Coturnix japonica: one gene and its partner. The protein of the gene in region 2 binds, or shares a complex with, the protein of the main gene of each other region. Links are inferred from orthologs where the notes say so. Each region holds a gene or a part of one and is shown on either strand. Other genes may lie near its edges.

Region 1 (7,102 bases), on a different chromosome or scaffold from region 2:
TAGTGTTCGGTGCAAAAACTTTTTACTTGGCTTTAAATACTTGGTTTTATATTATGGCCATTCTGAATGTGGAGGAACTGAGATTTGTTCTCTTCCATTCAGGAATAAAACAGCCCACTGAGTGCTTTGGTGTGTTGTGGGAGAAGTGTTCTCTTTGATGTTGAAGCCTGAAGGACTTAATTACTTTTAGTTGCGGTATATTACTGGGGTCAAAAGGTTCCCCGGCAACCTGTGACAGCAGAACTTGAAAATGAAGATTTGCTGGACAATATGTAAGAATTACCAGGCTTTGCTTCAAGCTCTTGGTTTACCAGAGCTGCTTCTCATGCTGGAGAAGGGGCCAGTGGGGAAGAAAAGGATGTTTGCTGAGAGGTATTTAAGAAGTGCTGAGATCTGAGATAGGAGGGTGGGGTTGTAGTGCTTTCTTTAGGCTGTATTTCCAATGCAGTCACTCATTGCTGTGGTGAAAATGTAATGTTTCAAAAGGAGTCCCCAGATCTGAAGTCACTTGGGAGCTTGCTCACTTGACAAGCATCTGTTGGTCTGAAGCTCACCTTTCCATCTTAAGTCAAAATCTGTTTGTCATTTAATCCATGCCACTGGTGGCTCAAGGTTCTTGTTTTCCATTTTCCGAAGTGAAAGGTGGCCATCACAGTGACAGCAAATAAAATGCAGAAGTAGCAGTAGAAAAGGAGTTCTGGTGTTTAGTATGCCAGTGTGTATTTGTTGCATCAAGCAGTAACGTTGCATGAGATGAGGACCGATACCATCAAATAAGCACAAAAATTGATTTGAAGGTAAACTGGAAATTTGAAAACTTGACCTAAACCACAGGTTTGACAATTATTAAGTTAAGAAAGCACTAATTCTACTGAACAGAAATGAAAGGCAGCTTTTGGGCAGGCGGTGGTTGTTGCCTTGAGTGTTTATGTGAGCATATGGCAAGTTGATGAATATGTATTTGAGTGCTTTCAGAGTTGGACTAACCTTCTAATAATGTGTATGTAAACTTCCATGGTTGCTCGATTCCTTTTAAGTATTTTTGAAATCTCATCATTTTAAGTCTCCCTACCAGTTTTATTGTGTTTATGACAGATTGTGGTTTTTTTCCCATATGAAATATCCATACTGAGGAAAAACAAATTCTCAAATGAGCTGTAATGTGCTGTCGAACTTGTACAGCAGGAAAAAGGCAAGCTGTGTACTGGACATCTGGTGGAGGTACAGTAAAACAGAAGCCAATGCAAATAATAGCATATGAGCTGTATTAGAGATGTAAAGAAGGTATGATTAAATCTCAAACTCCTTGCAGTAGACTTTGGAAATCTTAGACACCTGTGTTTTTAATGGAAGAGGATGCTGTAGTAGTTGGGGTGATGGTGTTTTTGAGTATGGGGTTTGATCCAGGGGAGAAGCATGAAAAATAACCAGGCACTTATTGTTACTAAACTGCGAGTGGATGAACCATTTGTTTCAACTGTATTTGACTTTTTTTCGGGGGGCCGACAGCCAGAACTGATACTGACAGTCATTACCACTGATAGAATTATGTCTTTAGTGCCACAAGGTGGATGGTTTTTAAACTGGAGCAGCATGTGGGTCCCCTTGAAAGTAGTTACAGTGGAAGCTTCGTAACTTGCTGCAGGCTTCTGCTTAGAAGTAACGCAACTTCCTCATCACCCACGTCTGACTACTGTCAGTCAGAGTAAGACAGCTGAGTGTGCTTAGTGTTTTGTTGTGTAGTCAAATAGCAAGCCTGCTTCTCACTTAAGCATAGCTTAAGGCTTTATTGGTACTATTGATGCTTTACTACCTGTATTAGAATCAAGGGCTACTTCCTGTTAACCTGAGTAGGAAGGAGAGGTTGCAGCTCAAATTAAAACAAGCCCTGAAGCAGTTTACTAGTATGTGTGTGTCACTGCACAGCACTTACATACTTTCATTTCAACTTTAAAAGATGTAAATGCAATTAATATACTAAAAGCACGAAAGGTGTGAAATCAAGAATTCAAAACTAGGAAAAAAGCAAATGAAGGCTATGAGTGTAAAAAGAGTAAGCTGATTTCATAGGTAAGGGCTGAGCCCAGTTCTGAATGCCACAGCAAACAAGGGAAGGTGTGGGTACTTGGTTCTTAAACATGTGTCGGTAAAGAGAAGTGAATGGCATACAGTGAATGATTTACAGCAATTTCAGGCTTGATAGTAAAGTGAGCTTGCTTACTGTCAGCTCAAAGGGACTGGTTATAGCCGTGCACATGAAGCATGTAACAAAATGGCAGAGGAGTAACACCTGCAGGTAAAAAAGGACTTTGTCCCATTATCCATGTTATTTCTATCACCAGCACCAATCAGTGCACTGGGGTTCCTGCCACCTGCTGAATGTAGGTTCTGCTAAGCCACAAAAGAGTGACTGTGTTGCTGTGCTATTATCTGTACTGACTGGCTGTTGTGTGAGCTTGAGTGAGACAAGATTCCTATGAGCCCTCAGTGCTGGCACCTACCTACCACAGGCAGTGTACCACACTGCTTCTATGTGCTTACCCCAGAACCAAACTCTAAGAGCCTTTGATAAAAATGACAAACACAGGCTCTCTCTCCAGGGGCTTCTAAGTGTAGCCAGTTTTCATACTAAAATAACAGAACTTTCTTGAAAAAATAATAAACTTTTAACAGTAAAAGTCATCATCTAAGTTAGCTAATTAAACATCTGAATACCACTTGTCTACTTACCTAGAATACAGGTACATCTTCAAGTCTGTCTTTCTGAAGCATTCCCTAAACTTTCAGACAGTGTGCTGCCTCATAGCAGAAGTAATATTACTGATTGTACCATCACAATGCACAGAGCAAAAGCAAGGAGTAACCTTGAAAGTTAACTTCAGCTTGTGTGTGTATGTATGTATATATAAGTATATCAAAGTCTGATTGAAATTTCCCACTTAAGTAACTTCACAGCAGTAATAGTTTTGTGGTGAAATAGTACCTAAGTTAAATGCAAATGTTCCAAAATTTATTAATTAGGAAAAAGATATTTCTATTTCATTTTTAATATCGTGACAAGAAATTCACTATGTGAACAAATACCCTGTGTGTGGCCTTTCCATACTCATACTACTTAGTGGTCTACAATTATGCAGTTTTAAGTATCTGTATGCAAGAAATCCTTGTCCCTTTCCATATAGGGCCTTGTTTATGGTTAGTTTTTGCAACAGTATTAATAGATGTTTAAAAACTGACCTGCATCTTAAGAATGTAGTTCACTTGTTTACTCATCCATAATCATTGTGCAAGTGTGGTCGCTCCTGAAGTATGGAAGTGTATATAATCTTCATGATGAAAAAATGATAGTGGGGGAAGACATTTCTCAGTGATTTCTTGCCCTGTTCCTACTCTCAAGGAAAGGCCGTATGGGACAACTCTTGAGTTCTCCTCTGGAGCTGACTCTGAAGCTGAAGCAGTCAGTTGTGCCATACAAAGACATGAAACATCCATCTCTTTTCATATTGTAATCTCAGAATTTAAGTCACAGTGCAGGTAGAAGCAATATTGAGCTCTTACAACTCAGTGCTTTCATGAAAAAGTAAATTGGTCCAAGAAGGTCTTGTCTTCTGCATTTACCACACATCTAGTAAGAGCATCAAAAATATTTCCAGGTACTTTCAATGTCAGGTGATGAAGAGACTAGTTTTCATATATACCTCACATTTGTTCACCCTTAAATTTTTATGTAGCCTGCCACGTATAACTAGATACAAGCTTGAAATTTCAAAAGGCTGTTTGTTAATTGGTAACAAAATCTCAAGTCCAGATGGAGGAGCAGGTTTTTGCTGTCAAGGTTTGCAAGAGAAATTGCATGCATTATAAACTTGAGTACAGAAAATGAGAACCTTCAGCTTCAGAGATATTTCTTTTACTGACTTGCTGCTAAATTTTACCACAAGATACTGATGATTTCAAAGTCTGTTTAAATCAAGTCAAATCATTAAGTTGGATATAAAACTGTAACAGTTCATTTTAAATTTTAACTATATATTTGAAGTAATCTTTTGCCTTTTTTTCTTAATTCCAGTTGCTCTGTATTCTTCTCTTTGCTTCAAATATTCTGCTTTGCATTCTTCATAGAATGATGGATCAGAATAGCTAAAAGAAAGATGAACATTATTAGAATAACAGAATAGAAACTGTATTAACAGCACTCAAAACTGCTCTTCAGTCCCACCCAAAGTTATCATCTTAAACTCTAAATACTGAATTGGTCTGTGTTCTCTCCTGAGCACACTCTTTCTTGAGGCATAGTTCTCATTCTTCAGGCCTATGCAGAGAAACCATAACGAGGAAAGCAAAGAAAGGGAAATATTCATTCAGTAGAGCCAAATAATTTTTTCTTATACATAGGAACCTATCTGCAAATAAGTCTCTGGAGAGCACTGATCTTTATGCACCTGCGAACCTAACATGAATTTTAGGGGAACGATTTTGAGTTTGCATCTTGAACAGTAAATGTGTGTGGGTAGATCCAAAAGTAATGTCTTCTATTTATTTCCAGGGAAACTACAACAGACATAAAGAACACAATAATGCTATTTGATAGAGAAAATTCTAAGCTACAAAATGCTATCTTGCGTGTAGTCACTTCTGTTAGCTATGTAGTTTTAACCAGAGATGAAGAAAAGCCTGCACGTCATGTTATACTTGTAAAAAGTCTGCACTGTTTCACATCTGCTATGATTGCACTGTTTCACATCTGCTATGATGTTGTCCATGCAGTCCATCTTTCATCAGCCCAAACAGATGGAAGTCAGAAGATGCCACCTTCAGACTATGGTAGGTGTAGTAGGATAATCCAGTCAGAACTGGCCCTGTGCTCCATAGTCTTCAAACTGGCATAGGATTTGACATTATCAAGAGAAAGGTTGTCTTTGTCTCTAGCTTGACTCTGAAGGTTCAAGTCTGTTGTGTAGCTGTACCTTTTTTTCATCAATTCTCAAACAAGTAACTCCACCTATCACTACATTAAAGGCATTAAACATTAACCTCTGGTTTAGCAGTGTACATATGACATGCATTCTATCACAACCCAATCCACCCATACCCACATAATGTTCAGAGAACACAAACTCCACAATAAGAAATTCAAGAATAACTTTGGCCTAGTGACACTGCAGGGACATTAGACTTCAAATAGAGACATTTCAATCCATCATGGCATCACGTCACCCTCTTTAACAACTTCCTACTGCAGATAACAACTGCTGGATGCTTTTGAAGTAAAGACTAAATACTGAAAGACAGTACAAGAAGTAAAACCAGAATGATCTAATCCTGTTTCTGTAACAGAATATGAAGGTGCTTCCACTGTTCACCCACATCCCCAATTCAGCACACTGAGTACAGGGCTGCATTTCATTGGGGCTGAGATTCTGGATCCGTTAGCACTATTTAAATGCAAGGAGGCCTTTTTAGCCATAGGATAGTTTTATTTCTGAAATTAAGTCTTGTCAGGTAGAACCCATGACCACCATCCTTTCTTCTAAAGCGAAGATGATATGATCTTCAGAAAAAAACCAAAGTCACAAGGTTAGCAAAGCCCTTTTTAGAACATTTAGCATTTCTATTCAGTTCTACATTAGAACAGCCAAAAACATGGAGCAAAACAAAGGCTCAGAAAGGACTTACTAGCCAACGAGGCAATCTTTCAGTGCTGTGTTCTCTTCCCGACACTTCACCACCATAAGAAAACCAGTTTCTTTGCAGCATTTAGTAAATGCTATAGAAAAACAAAAACATCAGAATTAGAAAAATGACTGTAAAATAAAGAAATCAAAATCCCTGTGTGCATGCTTTTCCATGGAAAAGTATGGAATAGTGAATAGTAAATATATATAGTATATATATATAGTAAATAGTGAAAAGTAAAAATAATAAAAAACACCTCACAAATCAGACCTGATTTATTACTAACATTGCTGTAGTTGGCCTGGAGCCTCATGCTATTTATAAGGTCTTTGTGGCTTGTTGAGCAACAAGATTTTAATTAGGATTCTCCCCTAATATCGTACAATGTGTGCATACGCTGCTGTAGCTAATACTAACAAATTTATGAAGCTACTCTTGCAGCAAATCCATGATTCTTAGACTGCTTTTCATACCGACTATTCAGGGCTACCGCAGCAAAACAAAAGGAAGCATGAAAAATTAGGTAAGCCAGGATTGCCAGCATTTCCTCTTCAATGAAATAATTATTTTGGAGTAATTAAAGTACATTTACATCTACAAATTAAGAGTGTAGTAACAGTGACAGCAACTACTGTCTCAAAGGAATGTCACTGCCAATCAATCACCTCTGAGAAGGCATCTTTGAGATACAAGGTAAGAAACTGTGAGGACATGATTCTCTCCTGGAGTGCAGCAGTTAGTTAGTTAATCAGCTGGGACTGCCACACTGTGCTCTATGGCACTACAGTACTCCACAGAGGACTGCCATCTTCTCTGTGTCATGTGGCAGCCTCTGGGTGTTCTTTGATACTGAACTTCTTTAAAGTAAGTCCAAATGGCCAAGAAAGGAGCACTGTCCCTGAAAATATCACCTTCAAAGTTCTTGGAATTATGATCTTTGGAACAACAGAATATATAAGGGAGGAGAGACAATCATCTATCTCTTATGAGGACTCTAGGTTAGCAACTATCTGCATTTAACAGGTGGAAAAAGAAAAGTACGGAGATAAAGTCCAACATAACCAGCAACCAAATCAAGAACAAAGTCCTTTTCCAGAATTCCACCTATTTCTTCATATCCAAGATTTTCTTGATAATTATTTAAATGCATCAGATTTAGGTCATATAAAAATCGTTATGTTCAAACATCTTTAGTAATACTTACTTACAGCTAATCCGGTAACATCAAAACTTAATGCAAATGGTAAACGGCATAGAACGGGATAGAATCATAGAATTGCTCAGGCTGGAAAAGACCTTAAACATCATCAAGTCAAGTCCAACCACAACCTCACTATGCTACCCTAATTCTAACAACCCATTGCTTAATCATGTCCTTGAGTACCACATCCAAATGGTTTTTAGAGCGGCTAGGAATGCTGACTCA
Region 2 (8,368 bases):
AGGAAAGGGAGATACTCCAACTAAGAGACCACCAGTTCTCCGGGCAGGTAGGTCTACATGAACTTTCCTACTTGCATATATGGGAATGTGGTCTTTTGGAGAGAAAACTGATGGGAAAAGTTGGTGCTCTGCTCCAGCCAAACAGGATTGGACATGCTATGGCAGTGATGTATGAATTTCTTCACCTGAGCTCCAAGTGAAGAGCAAAATAGACGAGCTTTTTAACCCTGAGCTTTAGCAAATTGTCCATGGAATATCTTACTCTGTGCTACTGAGTGGATATGAAAAGTTCTCATTCTGAAAGGTGTGCTGTGAAAGCAGCTGATTTTATGAGGCTTACGTGAAAGCTCTGGTGAAAAGACTGACTTGAAACAGACTTGTATAATTTGTTTTTTAGGTGTTAACACTGTCACGACTCTGGTAGAGAACAAGAAAGCTCAGCTTGTGGTGATCGCCCACGATGTAGACCCTATTGAGGTAAGCACGGTAGAGGCTGCCTGTATAACTCCACTTGAGGTTGGAACTCAAATGCTTATGGACGTTCAAACTTTCCTTGGACTTAGAATGAGGCTTGGCCCTTGCGATGATGTATGAATTTCTTCACCTGAATCAATAATGAAGAGCAAAACGAGCTTTTTAACACTGAGCAATTGCCACAGCCCAGGCCAGCTGAAACGCTACTAAGATGTTGTACCAGCAATACAGCACGCTCTGTCTCTTTTCAGCTGGTGGTCTTCTTGCCAGCTCTGTGCCGCAAGATGGGGGTGCCATACTGCATCATCAAGAGCAAGGCCAGGCTGGGGCGACTGGTGCACAGGAAAACTTGTACCTGTGTTGCTTTCACCCAAGTTAACCCGTAAGTATTCTGTGTGCTGATTTGCTTCAGATCCTGAAGCTAGAGGTTTAGCTTATTAAATAGGGCGTTATTATTAAATGTATAAGCTGAACTCTAAGCATTGATGGCTTTTGTGATTAACCTTTTGTTATACTTAACCTGAAAAATGATGTTCGTATTAAGAGTTAATTCCAAGACAGAAGACTTACAGAAAACATTAAACTGATGCTCTAAAGAAATGCATCTGTCCCCAACAGGGAGGATAAGGGTGCCCTTGCAAAGCTGGTGGAGGCTGTTAAGACCAACTACAATGACAGATATGATGAGGTAAGATGTGTGGCCCTTGTCTTTCAGGTTCATACTATGAACATCCCCAATAGTTTCTCAGTAAGATGCAGATTTCTGTTTTGGAGTGAGATCAGCTTAAGGCCTGTTGGGTGTAGACTGTAGCTAGGGGTTTTTTAGGTATTCAGATAGTTTACCTGAGGATGGGGTACAAAGTGAACACTGTCACCAAGAAAGAGGTAAACAGAGCCTAATGCAAGGACATGAATGTAAAGAGATCTGCTTCAGCTAGACGTGATTCCATCCCTGAAGTCCTGAAGCAAATCTCATGATAGGGAAAGGCTTTCAATTGTCGTATCTGTGCTGCTCCCAGAATGTAATTCACTGCTTTAAAAATGAGTGAGTAGGAGTTCAACCTTTTGTCATGAAGGATTGGAACTGAGCACAGTTGAATGTATGCAGACTCTTAACTTCAACTTGTTCTTCCTTCTTTGCAGATCCGTCGTCACTGGGGTGGTAACGTCTTGGGTCCAAAATCTGTTGCTCGCATTGCCAAGCTTGAAAAAGCAAAGGCTAAAGAACTGGCTACTAAGCTGGGCTAAAGATGTACTGATTTGGTACCATGGTTTGTGTACATAAAAAGAATAAATCCCCAGATCAAATTTTAGTGGTCTCTTATTAATGAGGGTTGCAATCAGTGGGTTGCGAATGATCATTACCCGCCTTCTCTTATCCAAAGGGTTGGATAGAACAGCATAGAAGGCAGCAAAGAACACATTATTTCCCTTAGAACAGTTTCCCTTGGCTGTTAAGCTAGCCATCTGTTTGCCTCCTTTAAGCATAGACCCACAGCTGCACATACTGGTGCTCCTACACTGAATGGGCTAAGCTAGGCTATTTCTGGCTTTAAGCCTAGCTTAGGAATGCAGATATCTGACTTGGAAATAGCTGTAAATCATTAGTGCCTAGCCTTAATTACTGCATGGATTTAATAAAGGCATGTTTGTGTAGTTGTGACACTTAAAAGAACTAAGCAAATCAGGACCTTTATAGGTTTGTAATGTCTCTTTTATGACAAGACCAGACAGTGAAGGCACACTAAAGGAGTGGAAGAAGTATCTAACCCTACTCCAGCTCTTTGCTGACTGTTGGCTTTGGTCTTGTGGCATTCTTGTCAGCCCAAGCTGAGGCAGCTCTTAGTTATTTCTGCCAGCCCCGATAATGTTGTAAAGCTACACACTCTCTTTAGTCAAACTGGAGTCTGCAGTTGTTCCATTTAATTCAGATCTGTCCCCTTGTTAAGTTGTAAGATATGCAACAAATCACAAGGCAAATACTAACAGGCCTGTTTTATTTATCCTGATGGAACTGCAGTGCCCCCATCTTGGCTTCAGGAACGACTGCTAGGTGAAAAATAGGGATTGATCAAATCCCTTGCCCTGATTTGTTTAGACTGAATATAGAAAATACAGCAGTGGAGAAGAAAAGGTTTTGTAGCTTGTGACCAAACTACCCAAATACAATAGAAAAATGCATCCTTCAGATGATCACAAAGCTGTTGTAAGTAAGTGTGTCAACACCCACCATTAATCCTGATGTTCAAACTGCTGCCAGCATCAGCTGTTACGTCCCATGCCCTGAGACTGAGCTCTTCAGGATTGATCTGGCTGCAGTCTTGTCTGTATTACAGGAGAGCAGGAATGAATCCTTCCCCTCATACAGGTACTTTTCGTATGAATTTTCTGTACCACAAGAAGGAAGTTGCAGCACACAGGCCGTACCTGTGACAAGGAGTGAGAAAATACATCATCCAAACATATACAAACAGTTTGCAGCTGAAGATCTCATCAATCCCCCTGATACGGGAGCAAGAATGCTGGGGGGAAAATTATTTCCCTGCTTTCAGTGGATTCAACAGAAAGCATTTTAAGGCTTCATGTTCAGAAAACAAAGGTCAGACGCTGCTGCCTGGGTAGCTTACCAGGTAATGATGTACTGCATGTGCTCGTTTCTCAGGCTCACTCTTGTCTGGCCTCCAATGGGACCTCCTGGGACTGTGCTTCCTGTAGGTACAGCACAGCGTCAGATGTTTGGTCTGCAAAGCCCTGAGCTGCCCATGCTCTGCCAAGTGAGCAGCTCGGTGTGATGTAGGTCACAAAGATTGCCCGCTTCTCTGGGCAGCGGTGTTCCCAAGTTAGCAGCAAAGCCAGCAGCTGTACCTTCAAAACCCTGTACAGTGAACTTAGTACAATACCTCTCAAAAAGCCTTAGGAGAAATACATGATGGGGAAAAGGGGGAGACTGTCATCAGTTGGTTGTGGATTTGGGTTTCTCTGTGACTTACTGAAATCTGCATCAATGAAGATGGGCTCAGCACCGGTCACCTTTGCCATGGCCTCCAGGTCACGGTAGTGCCAGCGGTTTTTTTCAGCGTTATTTTCAGGCACAAAAGGTTTCCTTTTTTCTGATAACCTCACCACCCCCGTGAGATCGATTTCTTCTTCAATCTGAAACAAGAAGAAAAAAAGGAATCTCTTGGGATTCATTTCTTAACATACCAGGACCTGGTAGTACATCACCTGCAGGTCTGGTTACAAGTCAGCCAGCAGGTTGTGCTGTACAGTGCTGTAATACAGCAGGGAAAAAGGCAGATGCCTTATTTCCTTAATCAAAGGCTTCGAGAAAAGGCACCTCTAAGAAGCGCAGTGACTCAGGAAGCTGAATGTGTCTGCTGCCTGTCTTTGTTTGTTAGAAGTGGGCAAGAGGTTAGAAAGTAACATGCAAGGTTTCCCTGTATCCCTCTTACCTGTCCCTTCAGCCTGGTCTCTGGTTTCAGTTTCTTTTTGGGCACGAATCCTCTGTTGACTAAAATCGTGACCCTAGAGTTACATAAACAGGAGAAAAACGCCTTGTGAATTAAAGAAAATTCGTGCTGCTGTCTACAGCTATGAGGAATTGCAAATACAATTTGGAATCAAGACTCAAGCACCTAAGAGACAGATGCATTTTAAGGGAGAGCCTTAACTCACCCTAGATCCGTGCAGTAGAAAGGAGTAATGACGTTTGCTCCATTTTCTGCATGGGATGTCAGCCTTCCAGCTTCTCTGGCTTCTCGCTCAGGGTCCACAAGTGACCGTGGTAAAATGTAGAGCTCCTTGGAGTGATCAAAATGCCCTCGGACCTTTACAGGCCTGTACTCCAATTCCTTCAACTCCATAGGGCTGCAGAGAGCAAGATGAAATGAAAATCACACCTGTGATAGGCAAATTACATGGGTGGATTTCACTATGGAATTCTCAGCTTCCTTACTCTAATGTCAGAGGGATGGGCTCTGATGAAAGTCTAGATGCCAGCTGTGCGATCAAATCTAGTTTCCATTTTCGACGCTGAATCTAGAAGTACACAAACAACAGTAATTCCTGTTCTTTACCCTGCCTATGGTACGATCTATATCAAACAGACAAAGCTTGAAACCTTACAGCCCCAAAGTGCTCATCTCTGATGAATGAAATACATGCTGATACCTGCCATGTGCCGAGACAGAATGCAGTCAGGGGCACGAGGAGGAGGCCCCACTTCAGCCAGATGTCCTCACTAGATGCACCGGTGGCTGCTGTGGAGCTTCGTGGGCTGCAGAGCCTCAGGCAAACATCTGCAGAGAGCCAGAATGAGGCAGCGGACAGGAACAGGAGGAGAGGTGCTAAATTCCTTAGGAAACATCATACTGGTGTGAGGCTGAAAGCGACAGAACCCCACACAGATCTCTGCTCACCTCTCTGCTGGGTCACTGCAGAACCCACTTTGGTTCGGGGCAATCCAAACAACGTCCTTCTGAGCAAGCAAAGCGATACCTAAGGGAGCAATACAACATCCAATGCTGTAATTTGCCTTTATATAAATGTTGGGCGAGCGCCTTCACTTCTTTCTTCATCACTCGGTGCCCAGCGGGGCCCTTCCCATCCCCTTCAGAGCCCTCACAGACCCTGTCTGCCCCCCTCAGAGCCCACCCCGGCCCTGCCCGCTGCCCTCAGCTCTCACCCGGGCCCTTCGCTCCCTCAGCAGCCTTGGCCCCGCTCGCAGCATCAGCCCCCACGTCGCCATGAAGCAACACCGCCACCCCCCCACCACCCAGGCTGTCCCCTCCCCTCTAGCTCCCCCTCTCTATGGTACCGGAACCCGTACCGGAAGTGAGGCGGCTCCTGTCTGTCAGCGCCTCTCTATGGTCAGATCGGTCCTTGCGGTTGTCAGCTCGGCGTGGCCATGGCCGACGTGGTTCCGGAGGTGCCCGACGAGGTGCGGCTGTTCCTGCGGCAGCACCCGCTGCTCAGCATCGAGGAGTCGGGCAAGGTGGGCAGGATCGGTCCGAGGATGGAGCTGGGGGTGTTGGGTGGAGCTGGGGCCGTGAGGGGAACGAGGCTGATCTCAGTCTTCAGGCCGGAGGGGCTTCTCTCGCGGTGTAAATAGGGTTGGGTTATTGAGGAGGGCCCCCCCCCCGGCTCATCGCTGGGCTCTAATGGAGGTTCCTCGCTCTCAGGTGCGGTGCCGGCTGACGGGCCACGAGCTGCCGTGCCGGCTGAAGGAGCTGCAGGCTTACACCGACGGTAGGAAGTACAGGCGGCTGATAAAGACGTCCAGAGAGTTTGATTATAGCAGCTTCGAGCCGCATATAGTGCCCAGCACAAAGAATATGTAGGTATTCAGGTGTGTTCAGTCTCTGTGGCTGAGCTTTAGGGAGTTCCTGAGCACATGAATCTTTTATTTGTTACACAGCACAGTTCGTTTTAAGTGAAAGGTTATTATTAAGTAGTTTGTTTAAACTGTGTTTGTGGCTCTTTCTCCTGTATGTGTGTCTCAGACATCAGCTGTTCTGCAAACTCACCCTCAGACACATCAATAAGCTTCCAGAGCACGTCCTGCGTCACGTCCAAGGGAAACGCTATCAGAAGGCACTGAAGGCATGTGAGTGGGCTGTACCTTCATTAAAGCTGCTTTGTCCCCTGAGCTGTTGAAGTTTTGACGTGCTTCTGAGTTGCATGTGGGCCTGGAAGTAAATAGGACTCGAGGGTTGGGTTGCTTTGCTAAGTGCTGCTCAATCTGTTGCATCTTCAGATGAGAAGTGCCAGAAGGAAGGGGTGAAGTACGTCCCTGCCTGCTTGAGGCAGAAGCAGCAGCGGAGACAGCATGATGAGGACCAGGTGAATGGGAGCAGGCAACCTCACAGAACAGAAGAATTCTGGGAGCCAGACTCTCCCAGGACGGATGAGGATGAGGATGGAGAGGAGACGGACGACAGCATGAGTGATCTGTACCCACGTGAGTAACAACATCGCGATCTTAGAGCAAGTCTGTCAGCTCATTCTCTCACAGAGCCTTTCTACTGCTGCTGGCTGCTCACACTCTGGATATGTGACCTCCATCCAGTTTGAGGTTCTTGGATTTGGAAGAGGCTTGCCAATGCTGAATGTGAAATAGCAGTTATCACACAGTAATACCAGAGCTGGATCCCATAAGGTATGAGGGGAGGGTCTTCACTTTAGATATCGCTGTTTGCCTTGTTTCTCAGCGAGTCCTCCAGCCTGACAGGAGTTGGTGAGGCTGTTCCACTCACATCTGGACAATGCTGCCTTGCTGTAGGAGAGCAGAGCTTTGAGATCCCAGATCTGCCTGTGTTGCCTGGTTCCCAGAACTGGGCTAGTGAAAGCCCCAGGCATTTTACTAATAAAACTTAAGCGTGTTTGTTACTGAGTATTTCAGTATCGACGTATATGATGGGCTGATCCTTGCAGGCCAAAGTCAGCTTAGATGAGTAGAAAATAAGGTTCGGGGTAAGCAGAGCCTGTGTGCACAAAGAACTGATCCTGAGCTAAACCTTTGTATTTTAGCTGGACTCTTCCCAGAAAAAAGCCCAGCAGCTCCACAAAACACAGAGGCCAACGATGGTTTTGCAACAGACAGCGAGGATGATGGGGCCGAGCTGAGCAGGGAGAACGGTGACCTGAATGGAGATGGTGGAAGAATGGATGTGAGCAAAGCAGCTGGCAAGAGGGGAAAGGTAGGAGTCATTGCTGTGCGTAGCAGATGGGGAGCATGAACAGCCATCATCTATCCTGTAGGTGGTTGTCTGATCTGTTCCTGTCTGAGAATCAGCAGAAGGTGTAAATCTATTTAGGAGAATACTTTCTCCATGTGCCAGCCACAGACTTGCATCCTGAGGTGTGAATTAGTAGCAGTAAATGTTTATCCTGTCTGCTCCAACTGGGTTTCTTACTTCCTGTATAAATATCTTCAATTGAATCCTGCTGCACTATCTTTACAGTGAGACTGTGGGTTTTGTAATCTTCCTCTCCACACACACACAAGCTGAACTCTCTCAAAGTCCTGGAGTCCTCCACTTGAGGAGCTGACCAGGTCCTGCCTTTGGGTGCACTTACAGGAGGGAAACAGACACATTATATACATGAGGGTGAATAAACTCTCTCAGGAAACCCTACGGGAGGGACTGGAGCCTTTCTAATCATTATCAACATTGAAAGTTAAGGCTGTTTATTTCTATGGGGAGAGGGTCATTGTTTGCATCTAATGAAAACATATATGTGTCAGAGATGCTAACTCACAAGACAGGGCAAGAAAACACCCTGGCTTACCCTGTGCCCTGGGCTGTGCTTGTTCTGTCTCTTAGTAAAGGAAAACACACTTGATTTCTCTTTAAGCAGCCTGGGGGCAAGGCTGGGTTTAGTTCCTGGAAAAAGCTGATTGACTTTTTCTTTCTACAGAAACAATCAGGCCCTTCAAAGAAAAAATTCAAGAGCTGTCATCAAAAACCCAAAAAGTTCAAGAAAACAACCAATGGTAAATAAATTTTTTATGATAAAAATGCAGCGTGAAGCTTCTTGTGAAACAGTTCCAGATGGTGCACAAGACCAAAGCGTTCACCTGTAAACCCTGCTGCCCATAGCAGTTAGTTGGTACAGCAGGGAGGAGTAGCAAGGGGGAATTAAACTGTGTGTTAACGCTGTCTCTCCATCCACTACTAACAAAACAAGAACTACCACTACAGTAACATAAAGGCAAAGCCACTGCTTGGAACTGTTTATGAAGAGAAAAAGCACACATGTTTAAGGGTCACTAGTCATACACTTCAAGTGGATACAAAGATGCCATTTGTTTTTATTTTGATTGTTTCAAAAATCAAAACATTTTCAAACACAACTAAGGTACAAAATACAGCATAAAATGAGAATTTATACT

What was found. The genes of interacting proteins can lie anywhere in the genome.
Region 1: surfeit locus protein 1 (region 2) and CMC1 share a complex: the UniProt entries of both Homo sapiens proteins name them as parts of the MITRAC (mitochondrial translation regulation assembly intermediate of cytochrome c oxidase complex) complex. The link is inferred for Coturnix japonica from reciprocal best matches to the Homo sapiens genes SURF1 and CMC1.

Annotation. Positions count from the first base shown.
Region 1 is NC_029517.1:35,703,693-35,710,794, reverse strand, and holds the end of CMC1 (COX assembly mitochondrial protein homolog), read right to left. Parts: intron 5,768-7,102; coding exon 5,677-5,767; intron 4,141-5,676; coding exon 4,026-4,140; 3' UTR 2,989-4,025; downstream 1-2,988. UniProt on the Homo sapiens protein: Component of the MITRAC (mitochondrial translation regulation assembly intermediate of cytochrome c oxidase complex) complex, that regulates cytochrome c oxidase assembly.
Region 2 is NC_029532.1:5,410,809-5,419,176, forward strand, and holds surfeit locus protein 1, read right to left. Parts: upstream 5,288-8,368; 5' UTR 5,222-5,287; coding exon 5,159-5,221; intron 4,972-5,158; coding exon 4,893-4,971; intron 4,773-4,892; coding exon 4,645-4,772; intron 4,513-4,644; coding exon 4,430-4,512; intron 4,342-4,429; coding exon 4,150-4,341; intron 4,000-4,149; coding exon 3,927-3,999; intron 3,628-3,926; coding exon 3,465-3,627; intron 3,184-3,464; coding exon 3,102-3,183; intron 2,902-3,101; coding exon 2,835-2,901; 3' UTR 2,455-2,834; downstream 1-2,454. Other genes in the region: RPL7A (60S ribosomal protein L7a), read left to right, coding at 1-47, 398-477, 726-856, 1,093-1,162, 1,618-1,722; SURF2 (surfeit locus protein 2), read left to right, coding at 5,381-5,467, 5,655-5,809, 5,976-6,079, 6,230-6,433, 7,003-7,172, 7,894-7,977. UniProt on the Homo sapiens protein: Component of the MITRAC (mitochondrial translation regulation assembly intermediate of cytochrome c oxidase complex) complex, that regulates cytochrome c oxidase assembly.